Caenorhabditis elegans: one gene and its partners. The protein of the gene in region 3 purifies or fractionates together with the protein of the main gene of each other region. This does not show direct contact. Each region holds a gene or a part of one and is shown on either strand. Other genes may lie near its edges. The genes, in order: F26A3.1, acp-6 and tli-1.

The links.
Region 1: the proteins of tli-1 (region 3) and F26A3.1 fractionate together in Caenorhabditis elegans (co-fractionation; one large-scale study listed by BioGRID). This does not show direct contact.
Region 2: the proteins of tli-1 (region 3) and acp-6 fractionate together in Caenorhabditis elegans (co-fractionation; one large-scale study listed by BioGRID). This does not show direct contact.

The regions. Positions count from the first base shown.
Region 1 is NC_003279.8:7,639,823-7,643,783, forward strand, and holds F26A3.1 (Lipid droplet-associated hydrolase), read right to left. Parts: upstream 1,946-3,961; coding exon 1,795-1,945; intron 1,745-1,794; coding exon 1,562-1,744; intron 1,394-1,561; coding exon 1,158-1,393; intron 1,113-1,157; coding exon 1,005-1,112; intron 958-1,004; coding exon 774-957; intron 728-773; coding exon 603-727; 3' UTR 526-602; downstream 1-525. Other genes in the region: ncbp-2 (Nuclear cap-binding protein subunit 2), read right to left, coding at 2,653-2,669, 2,773-2,981, 3,076-3,257, 3,351-3,419; rrf-1 (RNA-directed RNA polymerase), read right to left, coding at 3,818-3,961.
Region 2 is NC_003282.8:6,424,051-6,427,921, forward strand, and holds acp-6 (Histidine phosphatase family protein), read right to left. Parts: upstream 2,090-3,871; 5' UTR 2,088-2,089; coding exon 1,893-2,087; intron 1,844-1,892; coding exon 1,709-1,843; exon of another isoform or gene 1,639-1,708; intron 1,625-1,638; coding exon 1,480-1,624; intron 1,432-1,479; coding exon 1,049-1,431; intron 970-1,048; coding exon 721-969; intron 672-720; coding exon 633-671; 3' UTR 550-632; downstream 1-549.
Region 3 is NC_003279.8:10,535,538-10,539,868, forward strand, and holds tli-1 (CUE domain-containing protein), read right to left. Parts: upstream 2,552-4,331; 5' UTR 2,511-2,551; coding exon 2,475-2,510; intron 2,224-2,474; coding exon 2,030-2,223; intron 1,714-2,029; coding exon 1,370-1,713; intron 1,226-1,369; coding exon 1,130-1,225; intron 809-1,129; coding exon 747-808; 3' UTR 578-746; downstream 1-577.

The DNA of each region.
Region 1 (3,961 bases), 2.9 Mb from region 3:
TCAGAAAAAGAATAACACATGTCGAATTGTTAAAATATCTTGTTATTCTCTGCATTTCCACTGATAGTGAAAATACCGGGGCGACAAATGATCTGTATATGTCCCAAAAATGGAAAATTACAAAATATCTTTTTAAACATTTAAAGACTCGTGTATAAAACAGTTTCCAAAGAAACAAAAGAACGAGGTAATGACTGAAACGACTAGAGCACGCCAATCTGCTGTTTCGCTCTCTTCGATTTCAAATTTGCATTAGAGCGCACATGCTTTCGCGCCGTTTTATTTATTTTTTATTTAAAAACGGAACTTTCGGAATTGAAAAGGGGTTTTTTAATGTTTACTAAGCCTAAGTAGACTAGAATTCAGTAGAGAGCAATAAAGTTTGTTTCGTCACCACTTAATCCTGGCAGTAATAACTAGAGCTCCTGTTAAATACTTAAATAAAATCAATTAATCAATTGAAGAAATATTAACAGGTGTTAGAAACAAACACATAGAAAAGGAAAAACAATAAAATGTGCAAATATTTTTATATTTATTAAAAGATAAAATTCTAGGTAATGCAATCACAGGTTGAAGTACGGAAAACTCGGAGCAACTGATCAATCGAAATATTTTATAACATTTCTCGCCATAATGTCTCCTTCAGAAATAACAAAAGCGTGTTCACAATTGTCTTCGTCCAATGTGACCTGCTCCTCACCAAGTCTGTCCCGCATGGAGTATCCTATAAATTTTATTTTCAATCTACACAACGTTTTCAAGGTCAATACCATGCTGCACTGGACACCATCCATCCTTGAGGCCATAATAGAAATGAACCACGTCTTGTTTTTCCAAAAGACGCTCATCTAGGTCTAAAACGATATCAAGTTCATCGTTTGACATGTGAACTATATTTCTGAACACATCCATATGGACAAGCTCAACTGCCGCATCGACGATCTCTGGGGGAGTCTGAAAAATTATGTTTTTTGTTGCTTGACATTCAAAAAAAAATTTACATTAGGATGTCTCAGGTTCAATCCAACAAGAAATTTTTTGATCGAGTTTGGCAGGTAATCCACCCACCAGCAAATCGTTTTTGTGAGCCAATCATGATGGTTCAATGTCTGAAAGTTTACAATTAAAAATTAAAATAAAGAAATTGAATTTACAGCTAAAGTTCCATGTAATCGTTTCCCATTTGGTGAGTTTGCCATATGAACTATCGTTGGAAACAGTCCAACAGCTTTTTCCACGTGGAATCCTTCTTTTATCACTTCAGGAATGATTCTTAACATCATATACGAACCAATGCTATGCCCCAAAATGTACAGTTGCTTTCCACGTGGCAGGTGCTCTTTCACAAATGATAGTTTGTGATTGACTTGTTCCTCCAGAGAAATTCGGTCTGGAAATATATTATAATCGACGTAAAAACGCGCTCCGCACCGGATCCATGAGTCTCGTTAGGTATTTGAAAAAAAAACAAAAGGGCGAAAAATACTGCGAAATCGGCGAAACTAAATAAGTTAAAAGGCTGGAGTGAACGGTTCTTCGTTTTATTTGTATTTATTACCATGATTTCGATGTTCTCCATCATCTTTCAAATGATCTGGCATTCGAACATGATTGAGACTTGAAACTGTGTAGAATAAATATTGATTTTTCAAGTTTTTCTGCTCATCTTCATCTTTCTTTATCAAATTTTGCAAAACTTCTCGTCCGAAATGAGCGTAGAATCCTTCGTTTCCGGGATTTCCTGAAATTAAAATTTTCTTAAATTTTTAAAAGCGCAATTTCCCGATTTACCTGGAATCATTAAAATAATCACTCGATTCTCGTTCTCCTTTTTCTTCTGAATTTTCAGCGTTTCGTCTGAAATATCCAACCCCATGACGGACATTTTCGTCCATTTCCCTGCTACTCGAACCCATTCCACTTTTCGAAGAATTGAGGTCATCTATATGTAAATAAATAAGAAAAACTGGAAAAATGCGGTTAGAAAGAATGATATTGTGTTGGGAAATTTTCACCTGCCTCAATAATTATTTTTAAACATCTGTAAAAAATCGATGGAGGAAGATGGCTTTATCTCAAGTTTGGAGAAGAAAACACAAACAGAAAAATAAATAAAACGTTAAAACAAGATGGAAACAGAGATACCGTATATTCTCTATTAGTGCTGCATGCAGCACTAATTTCCAGGCCCTTTTTGAGTGCAGCACTATTAGAGACTGCAGTATTACTGGAGGCTGCAGCACTAATTTTCGAACGGCTATTTTCAATTGGAGATCACTAGTTTTTAGTCACAAATGCTCACCTTTTAAGCAGAAATCCATTAAAATTGTGAAATTTTGTAACAAAAATGACCTAATAACTCAATTATGTTTGTAAGTTAACTAGAAATCTTCAAAAATATACAAAACACTCCCCAGAATGTCAAAACTATGTATTGAGTGACTCTTTCAGTAGAAAATGGGGTGCAGCACTAATAGAGACTGCAGCACTAATTTTCGGACCCTTTTTGAGTGCAGCACTATTAGAGACTGCAGTACTACTGGAGATGCAGCACTAATAGAGAATATACGGTAATAATTTTCAGATTTTGTGATTTTTTTTGTTTGAAGAATGATGATTGAGGATCGTGTTGGATGGATTTGGAAACGATTATTGACGGTCACCGCCTGAAAAATGTAGAAGATTCATTTTTCTTAATAGTCACACGAATAAAAAAACCAATTTGAAACAACTTAAAACGATTTTTCCATTTTTTTTTATTCTGCTAACCTTTTTGAGCAATAGCGCGATTGTAGCCTCCTCTTTCTGGATCATAATCCTTTCGATACTCATCACGAACTTGTCCACCGTGTTTTCCTCTTCCATATTGACGTCCTTCAATGAATCCAGCATCCCAATCAGCACGAATTACACGATCATCCATACGAGTGTTTGAGATGTTCTGAAGAGCCAGCTCAGCGTCTTCTCTTGTGTAGTATCTGGAAATCAATAAATAAAAATAAAAATTAATTAAATTTTATTTGTTCGGGTTAAAAGTCCAGAGAAGCAATGAAAATCGCGGAAAAAACTCACTCGACAAAGCAGAATCCGCAAGGAGTTTTCTTGAATCTATCCAATCCCATGATCACTCTTCTGACGTCACCGGCTCTTCCAAACAGCTCATAGACTTGGTCTTCTTTAGTGTAATATGATAAATTTCCAACATAAAGTGTACATGATGTGCGTAGAGCAGTCTCCTGGTCTCGAACGGTTCCCTGAAATTGAGAACTACAAATTTGAATTCGTATTGTGCAACAACACCTTTTATTCGATAAAAACCCGAAAAGTTGTTAAAACAAAAGGCTTACCTGGTATCTTTGATCTCTGTAAGCACTAATTTCCTTAGGATTATCCAATGTTCTTGGATCGAAGACCATTTTAAAAGAAAGAACGAAGAAACAGACACACTCTTCAGCGAACAAAATTCGAAAAGAGAACGGAGTGTCGTAGCGCGTGTTGTTTAACTGAAACCCGAGGTTATTTGAATTTGGATTTTATCAACCCTCATTTAGCAGATATTGGATAACGAAATAACATTGGGAATATCGATTACGAAACGAAAATCTAAAATAAATAAATGTTTTATACCACGGAGAAAATATTTTAAAATTATTAATCAATCATTTGATGATGGAATTGGTCAGTTTACACACAAATACAAATGGTAGAAGGAATTAAAAATAAATAAAACAGAAAAAATAGTACAAGGTTTGAAAATGTAAGTGAAGAAAAAACATTAACAGAGTCTATGGCATATTTCAACAAAAATACGAGATTAAAATTCACCATTCATAACTTTTTGATAGCAAAGAGATGCCATCTGTTGTGATACTTCTTCTCCTTCCCAATGACTTTTGATTGGAATTGTAACTGCTGAAAGCTTTTTGAGCATTTGAATTGATTCGAGAGTTCCGGAGAC
Region 2 (3,871 bases), on a different chromosome or scaffold from region 3:
TCAAAACTTTTTCAGCGGTCTCGTTATGAAAATCAGGTACTTTTAGCATCTAAACAGCATATGTATCATGTTTGGGAAAAAGTTTGGGTTTTTTATTCCCGTAATCCATCATATTACATTGACCACTTTTACCGCTACTTGCCGACTGAACTCACAATTTTTTCACTTGGAAATTGTTTTAGCATCTGCAAAAAATATTTATTTATTAGTTTTGATAAGAAAAAACGGAAAAAAATCGGTGAAAACGAAAGAAAACACACAGAAAACAAAGCAAGATAAATGGCCGCTGAAATTTGTCGGGGACTCGGCCATGGCCTAGAAACCACTTTTCCTCGTCCCTCGTGAGGAAAAAGTTGCAGTGTATCAAGTGGACGATATCCAAACACTTCGGTTTCCAGTCTGGAGTTTTTTTTGTTCTCCATGGAGCTTCACGTATCTTTTAAATAGAAAAAAAAACGATTTTCATCGCAAAAATAGTTCCAAATCGAGGTATACCCCTTTAATGAGCACAGTAACCCATTCTCCGTTATTTTGCAATTTTCATTGATTACTTTCGAATTATTTATTAAAAAGTAACTACATTAGTACATACGAAGCGAATCAAACGATTATTATAAATTCATGCAAAGAATCTAAGCCTTGTCGCATTGAGACTTCCAATCGGAGAAGGACTGAAAATGTTAATTTGTTACAATAATCTAACCTATTTTTCCAACTTACGAATTGTTTTGCATAGGCGAAGAATTGTTCCAATGGAATGAATCCATCCTTGTCAGCCAATTTCTTAAGTTTTGGAGTAAGTTCAGCTGGATAGATGACATGATCATCGATTGGGTTAGGATCATGGTTGAGAAGACGGACAGCTGGTTTTGGAAGACGTTTAAATTCAACTACGAATCCAGCGGAGGTGGTCAGTTCATCCTTCACGTATCCCATCAATTTCATGACGGAAAGAGTGATTTCGGTGTGCTGGAATTTGAAATTTGTATAATTTTTTCACAGGAAATAGAGGTTTCACATTAATATTGACAGGTTGTAAATAACTTACAGAAGCGTATCCAATAACTTGTGGTCCCTTTCCAGCGTTAGCATCAGCAACCTTATCAATCAAATTCTGAAGCCAATATCCAGCCATCAAGTTTCCGCATGGTCCGTACTCTGCACAAGCGTTCTGATGAACTTCAGCAAATTCCAGAATCTTAGCCTTCAGCTTCTCGAAAGTGTATCCTTTCAACTTTGGAGCCTTAATCCATGATGGATATTCAGCCTTGTAGAGATCAATTTCAATGAGATTATCGGCCAAATCAGCAGCTTTTCCCAGATTCTCCATGTTCCATTTGGTGTTGTCAGAGAAGTATTTGAGCTCAGCTGCGTTGCTTGTCTTGAGCTTCTTGAGGAATGGAAGGGAATCCTTGTCGATTGGGCCCCAGACTGTAAAATCAGGATTTATATGTTCACATTATACAAGTACAACCGTACCCTTATCATTTCCTTTGCATTCCTTAACAGCGTACATTCTAAGAAGTGGATCATCAATGGCATATGGGACTGGAGACCAATGATCGTACCATTTCTTATCCCAATCCCCCCATTGTTCTGGATCGTGGAGAGCAGCAGTGACAGTCTAAAAATTTACTGTTTCAATGTGGCAACTTATAGTTAGATAAATTTTGATTATTTTACTTTGAATTCGGAATTCGCCACATACCTGAAGAGTCATTTGGCATCTGTTGGCAGAACTGGAGTAATATTTAACTTGAGATGAGTTGTAGTTACGAGAGATCAAATTTCCAATAAAGCTTCTCAATTCCTTTCCCAATCCAAGTCCTTGACGCTTTCCGAACTGAAATATTACTAGATTTCATTTAGAAACTCCAATAATTAATACTTACTGAAGTCAATTCAGTATTTCCCTCATGTCCCCAGCTTCTTGGATTCTCTTGGAGAAAAACTTCTGGATGACGGTTTCCGTGACGAGTTCCGAACAGCACAAGAACCGAGTTCTTATCAATTGCAACAGACTTCTTTGGGAGAAGATGGGCGGCTGAAGTAGCCAAGATCAAGGCAGAAAATAGTAGAAGGTTCATACCTGAAAATATAATTTCTTTGTCTGAGGTGGCGTAAAATACAACGGTAAAGTTGAAGAAACATATCACTTTTTAATGAGAGCAAACCAAGAAGTATGAAAACTGATAAAGCTTCTCATGACTAGACTACCTACATGCCTATTCCACAAACGTTGCAGGTCCGCAAGAAGGCATTTACTGTTTAGACTAAAAGGTAGGAGATTGTAGAATGATAGATTCAGGTTGAAAAATACATATTCTGAGAGCTTTTCTAGACAAATTTAAAATTCTGGTAATCAGTTAATTACACAAGAACACTGAATTGCCAGTGAACTTCCATCTTACCCGGCGTTTATATACTGTTTTTGTTTTGTTTGAAACGATAACAAACTGATAAGATAACACGACAGAACACAATTCAATAAAATTGAATTAAAAGAAGATATGACCCGATTTGAAATAAAAAGTATCTTCAGGTGTTTTGTTACCGTTTCATTGAAACAGAATGAACAAAAAACCGTTAGTTGTTGGTCTAATAGAGAAACCATTAAACACGGAACTAATAATTTTATTAAAAAAATCTCAAATGAAATATCACGTTAGTTCAGAAGCCTGCGCCGGCCTCGTACCTTCCCGCGTGCTCAATGATCTGCGAACCCTTGCCGTACAACTTTGGTATTCGTCAGGTTCAACTGAAAGGCACAAGGCAGGCGCGATAGAAGTGGGCCTACAAATCAGTCACTATTTTTAAATTCAAGCTGTAAAATAATTACTTTAACATGCATCCATGGCACATTTTGGAAACTGTTACTAACAGAAAATTTCAAAATTTTACTTCTATCCTGAAACCGATCGAGCACTAGATGCTAACTTTATCTTAAAATTACCTTTTTTCAAGTTACAAAAAATAATTCTTTTAACTTTTCTATCTATGTACCTAGGATAGCAATACTTGAGTACTGTAAATCTAAATCACATGCTACCTAGTACGATCTTGTCATTAAAGGATTTCTCAAGGCCGTGACAAGAGACCAGACGTGACAATACCAAAATATCATGATAAAAATATAGATCACAAACAGAAAGGATGTTTGGATGTACGTTCTCAACATTTTGTGCCATTCTTTTATACTCTGTTAGGTACGACCAAACTTCAATTCAATTTGGCCTCGAAATTGTCATGGAAGGGAGAAATGAATTGAAAATGAGACAATTTTAAATGAATGAAAGAAAAAGATGAAATACACAAAACACATAGAAAACAGACAAACATGAAGAAGATCAATTGTTTATTTGAACTCAAAAACTCCATGTTTCACCATCTCATCTTCAATTCAATTTCTTCCAATTGAATACACCAATTACTCTTTTTTTCTCTGTTTCACAAAACCACAAAGATCGCGAGAAAACTTTAGTTCCGGTTTTTCTCCGAGAATCTGCGAGAGTTCAAGGTGAGTTCAAATGACCGTGAATTGCGCCGTGGCAATTTGAATTTCAATTAGACAGAATTTTTGAGACTTCATGAGCAGAAGGCTGAAGTAAAGTTTGCAGAGAATACGGTAGGATTTGTCTAGTATATATGCCTCCCGGGTTCCTATCGCGATGGCTCCATTGTGCTAATTGAGGCATTCGCGAGTTCGTAGGGCTCTAACATAATTTTCGGATCTTTGGTGCCTTCTGGAAGGGCTACACCAAAAGCTAATTGGAAGAATTACTACTGTAGAAAACTGTAGAAAATTTGGTTAAAATTACAAAGGGGCTAATGAAAAACACTTATTATTGGATAATTGTATTAAAATTGGGAA
Region 3 (4,331 bases):
TTGAAAATAGTTCAATTGACAGTTAAGAACATCCATTACGTACTCAGTAATTGACATACATTCATTCACAGGATATTCAGCATAGATACTCCTAATCTTTTCTTGAAGTGCATAATCAAGAGTAGTTTCCGAAATGGTTTTGTTGTGTGCATCAGAATGAACTTTGAACTTCCATCTTTTCCCAATTTTTTTATTGACGAATACATAAGGGCTACCAGAAACATATGCGTCAATTGTGTAATGTTCTTTGCGTTTATTTTTTGTAAACTCTTTCACTGTTACCTTCGCTTTCAAACTTAATTTTGAGACATTTATTCTGAAAATTATCACTTTGTAGAGTTGTTTTCTGAATCGACGGGGTTGGCAATGAGTTATTCGTTTAATTGGCAGATATTTTAATTGAAAGAAAACTGAAAGTTTCGTGGAAAACCACGCTTTTGTACGGCTGGAGATGATGAGATGACAATTTTTTGATAAAATCCAGGACATGTGAAATGTAAGCTTCTAAAGCTAACCAAGAAAGTGTAAGAATAGTTTTGCTCGTTTTATTTTGTTAAATTAATTGTATGAATATATTCGTTTTCCATATTTTTATTTTATACATACACAATCATACATCAATTTTGATTACAATAAATAGATTCCAATTGACTTTTTTTTGATTCACAACTTTAAATGAGATGGGAGATTCAGTGGAGAAGGTGGGTAGACTAGGATTTTTTTGATTTTCATGAAAAATGCAAAATTTAGGAGCTCTCGGCTGCTGCTGTCATCTCCAGAATTGCGCTGACTGCGGCTTCCTTGTCACCTGAAATATTTTAACAATGTATATTAAATTGGTCTTGAATTGACAGCTAAGTTTCTGACAGAAAACTGTAAGTAAATATTTCTTATTTTTCTTATAAAACTGGAAAACAGTTTGCCAGATTTTTGTAAAACATTATCAGGATTCCTGATTCAGGAATATATAAATTTTACTCAGGCAAAAAAATTAAAGTCAACAGCATTCTGGAAATTTTCTACCAGTAACTTGAAATTTTTCAAACATTTTAATTGAGTTTTTGCCTCCGAACAACATACAAAATGAGCAATATTGTCCGAAAACGAATAAAAATCTCTAATATTTTACCTCTTCTCTCTTCAAGAATACACTTGATTACTTCTTTATCGACAATTGGGAACATTTCCTGGATCTCTTTAGTGTCCTCCTCAGTAATTTCAACTGCTGAAAAAATGAGATTTTGATTTAAAAAATATTAATTTTCCAATTTTGTAAGTGGTTCAAACAATTGACAATTTTCCAAAAATTTTGACTGAAAAATATCAAAAATAAAGTCATAATTAGAATTTTACAAATTCCACAACTTACGCAGTGGAGCTGGAGCTGGCTCTGCCGGTGCGGCTTGTTGCAATGGCAAATCAATTGGAGCAAACGAGAAGTGTAAATGAATCATTCCTTCTTTTCCTTCACCTTGTTGTCCAGACAATTGAAAGTATTCATCAATGTTATCACCATTGAAAATTGCCAGTGGAAGCATGATATGAGCCCACGCAATAACCTCATCTGGTCCAAATGCTTTTTCATCGAATATTTGAATATAAATACTCTCAACATTCATTGGAAGATAGGCATTGAGAGTTCGGTTCCAGGTTGGAGCACGTCCTGCGTTAGCTGCCACGTTTGTATCGAATTCAACGTTTCCGACACGAACTCTGCAAATTGGAAATTACAAAATATTTCGTTTTTTCACAAGTATCTAGCTTGAACATCGGACAGAATTTTAAAAAAAAGTCAATTCGCTAATGAAAAACAATTAACGATAAAAATAATAAATTGATTGTAAATCTATGTTCAATTTTTTTCGTACATATGTATTTTTAACTTCTTTACAATTTTTGAATTTCAATTTCAAATGTTTCATTTTCTGTAAAAAATCTAAATTTTTTGACGACGCTCTTGGCTATGACAAAATAGTTCTCAGATAAAATTCTTGATTTAAAAAATTTAATTTTCAAAAAAAAATCTTACCTGCAATAGGGATCCATTCGAACAAGACCATAGTTTTTGACAAGATTCGCTTCGAGAATTGTCACTGAGAGCCGTCCACGTGTATTTGGTGGCACAAAGCTCACCATACGAGGCTGAACGATTTCTGGCTCAGCAGTTTGTTGAATTGGGACTGCCAGACGAAGGAAGTGAGGTGGAAGCTCTCCAACGAGCACCTGTAAAATTTGATATTGAGAGAAAAAAAACAGTTTTGAGCAAGCTCTGAAAAATATAGTAGGGAATTTTACACTCTTGCAAATTTTATAAGTCTTCATAGAAATATAATTGACAATCAACTATATTTTATAGTTTTTTTTCCTGATTTTATATTAGTTTTTATAGGTTCTCTAAACATTATTTTCCAAAAATGGTCAGCTAAGATGTTCACAAACAATTTGAATATATATTTTTCCCTTGTTTCCCTAACCTGTCTACGACGTTCAGCAACAGTCTCAGTATTCATTGTTTCTCACGGAAGATCAGTATTTGTTTTGGTTTCTGAAATGACTTGGCAATGTTTGTTGAATGACTCAGCAGAAACAGGTACTGATAGACATCAGACTGAACAAAGAAGGAGGAAAAGAATTTGCAGGACAAAAAAACTAAAAATTTAATGAAAATTGTCATTTTAGAGACTGAGAATGTGTCTGGGAGCTGGAGAGAACGAGAGAAAAAGAAGAGGAAAATCGATAAGAAGGGACTGGTCAACAACAACAAAATAGATGGAAATGGGCATATTTGGATTCAGAAAAGTGAGAGAACATGAAATGAGGGAACTATACTGCTGAAATTAATATACTGTTTCCTTTTTTTAAATTAAACTTCTGTACCCTTTTACTGCATTTATTTTACTGATTATATCTCGGTTTTCTTTGGGTGTATCAAGAAGTGTTCAACTGATAAATTATAGATAGAATATATTCCTATTTTTTCAAAAATTACACAATTAAAAAACTGAAGACAACAAAGATATGAAACGTCTAAGTTGAGCAAGTCGAGGGAGAAATCTGAAATATCTTTAAACTGCCAATGAGGGTCTAGTTTTTCAAAATTTTTTAGGTTTTTCATTTTAACAATTCGGCTGCTCGATTTGGCCAATTTTGGAAATACTGGCAGAAGAAAATGCTTTTTTGAACTAAAATTTCAAAATAAGTAATTAATCATTTTTTGCTTACAATAAACAAAATGAATATCTGTGATTGTTACTTAAAAATTCAGAAACTGGAAATAAATTTTGATTTTTTAAGTTCTCAAAAATGTCACAAAAATATAATATCAAAAATATAAAACCTTTTTTTCAGAAAAAAAACTAGGGGAGATTTTCCTCTGACCAAAAATCGATGAACTTTAAATGTGAGAAATGGAATATTCTTGAAGAGCAAAAAAACCAACATGACTTGCACAGCTAACACAAAATTCGGAAATAAAAATTGGTATTTATAATATAAACTTTAAAATTACAATAAAAATATTTGTGATGAACATGAACATGTGATTTGAACTAAATATTGTGAAATTTCAAAAAAAGATGATGTCATGCCAAAATTGGAGCATGAAAAACAACAATCAAAAGTTCTACCATCATAAAATTATTCCAAAGTATCATTAAAAAATATCTCAAAACCAAATCGTCATGACAACTAGAATGGCAGTAAACATACTCTATTTCTCTCCGTCTCTAACTGTTTCCCCACTCTACCAGACACTCTCGTACCCTTTTCCACAAGGACGATGCCTACGTCTCTACTCTACTACACACTCTCTTATCGTCCATCTCAATTCTTTGTTTATTTCTCTACGTACTCTACGTGTTCGTACACTTTCTCTACGTCTCTCAGTCTCTCTCAATCGTTCAGTAGTCTTATTCCCCAGAGGACCCGACCAACTTTTTCGGGGAAAAGAACTGAAGACGTCCATTCTGTGGGCAGAGAACATTTAAGAAAGCTTTATAGGTTTTATATAAGAAAAAAATGGTTTTTGTTCCAAAAATCTTAATATCTTCGTTATTGCTTGATTAGCCTACGAAACATTTATTCTGAAGTTTTAAATTAAAACTTCCGTCAAAGTTTAATGGAACTTCTCAAAATACCAATTTCCTTCATCTTTTTTTTCTAAAAATCTAATTTCTCTTATTGAATTCCTTATCTTTTTTCCCCTTTTTTTGCAGTTTTGTCTGCACTTTTAACGTCACAAAGTTTATGTCTTGATGTCGGTGGTCAACGAAACTTTTCAAAAAGTAAATTTTCTACTTTAACCGTTTTATAAGAACATTTATATCAGCTCT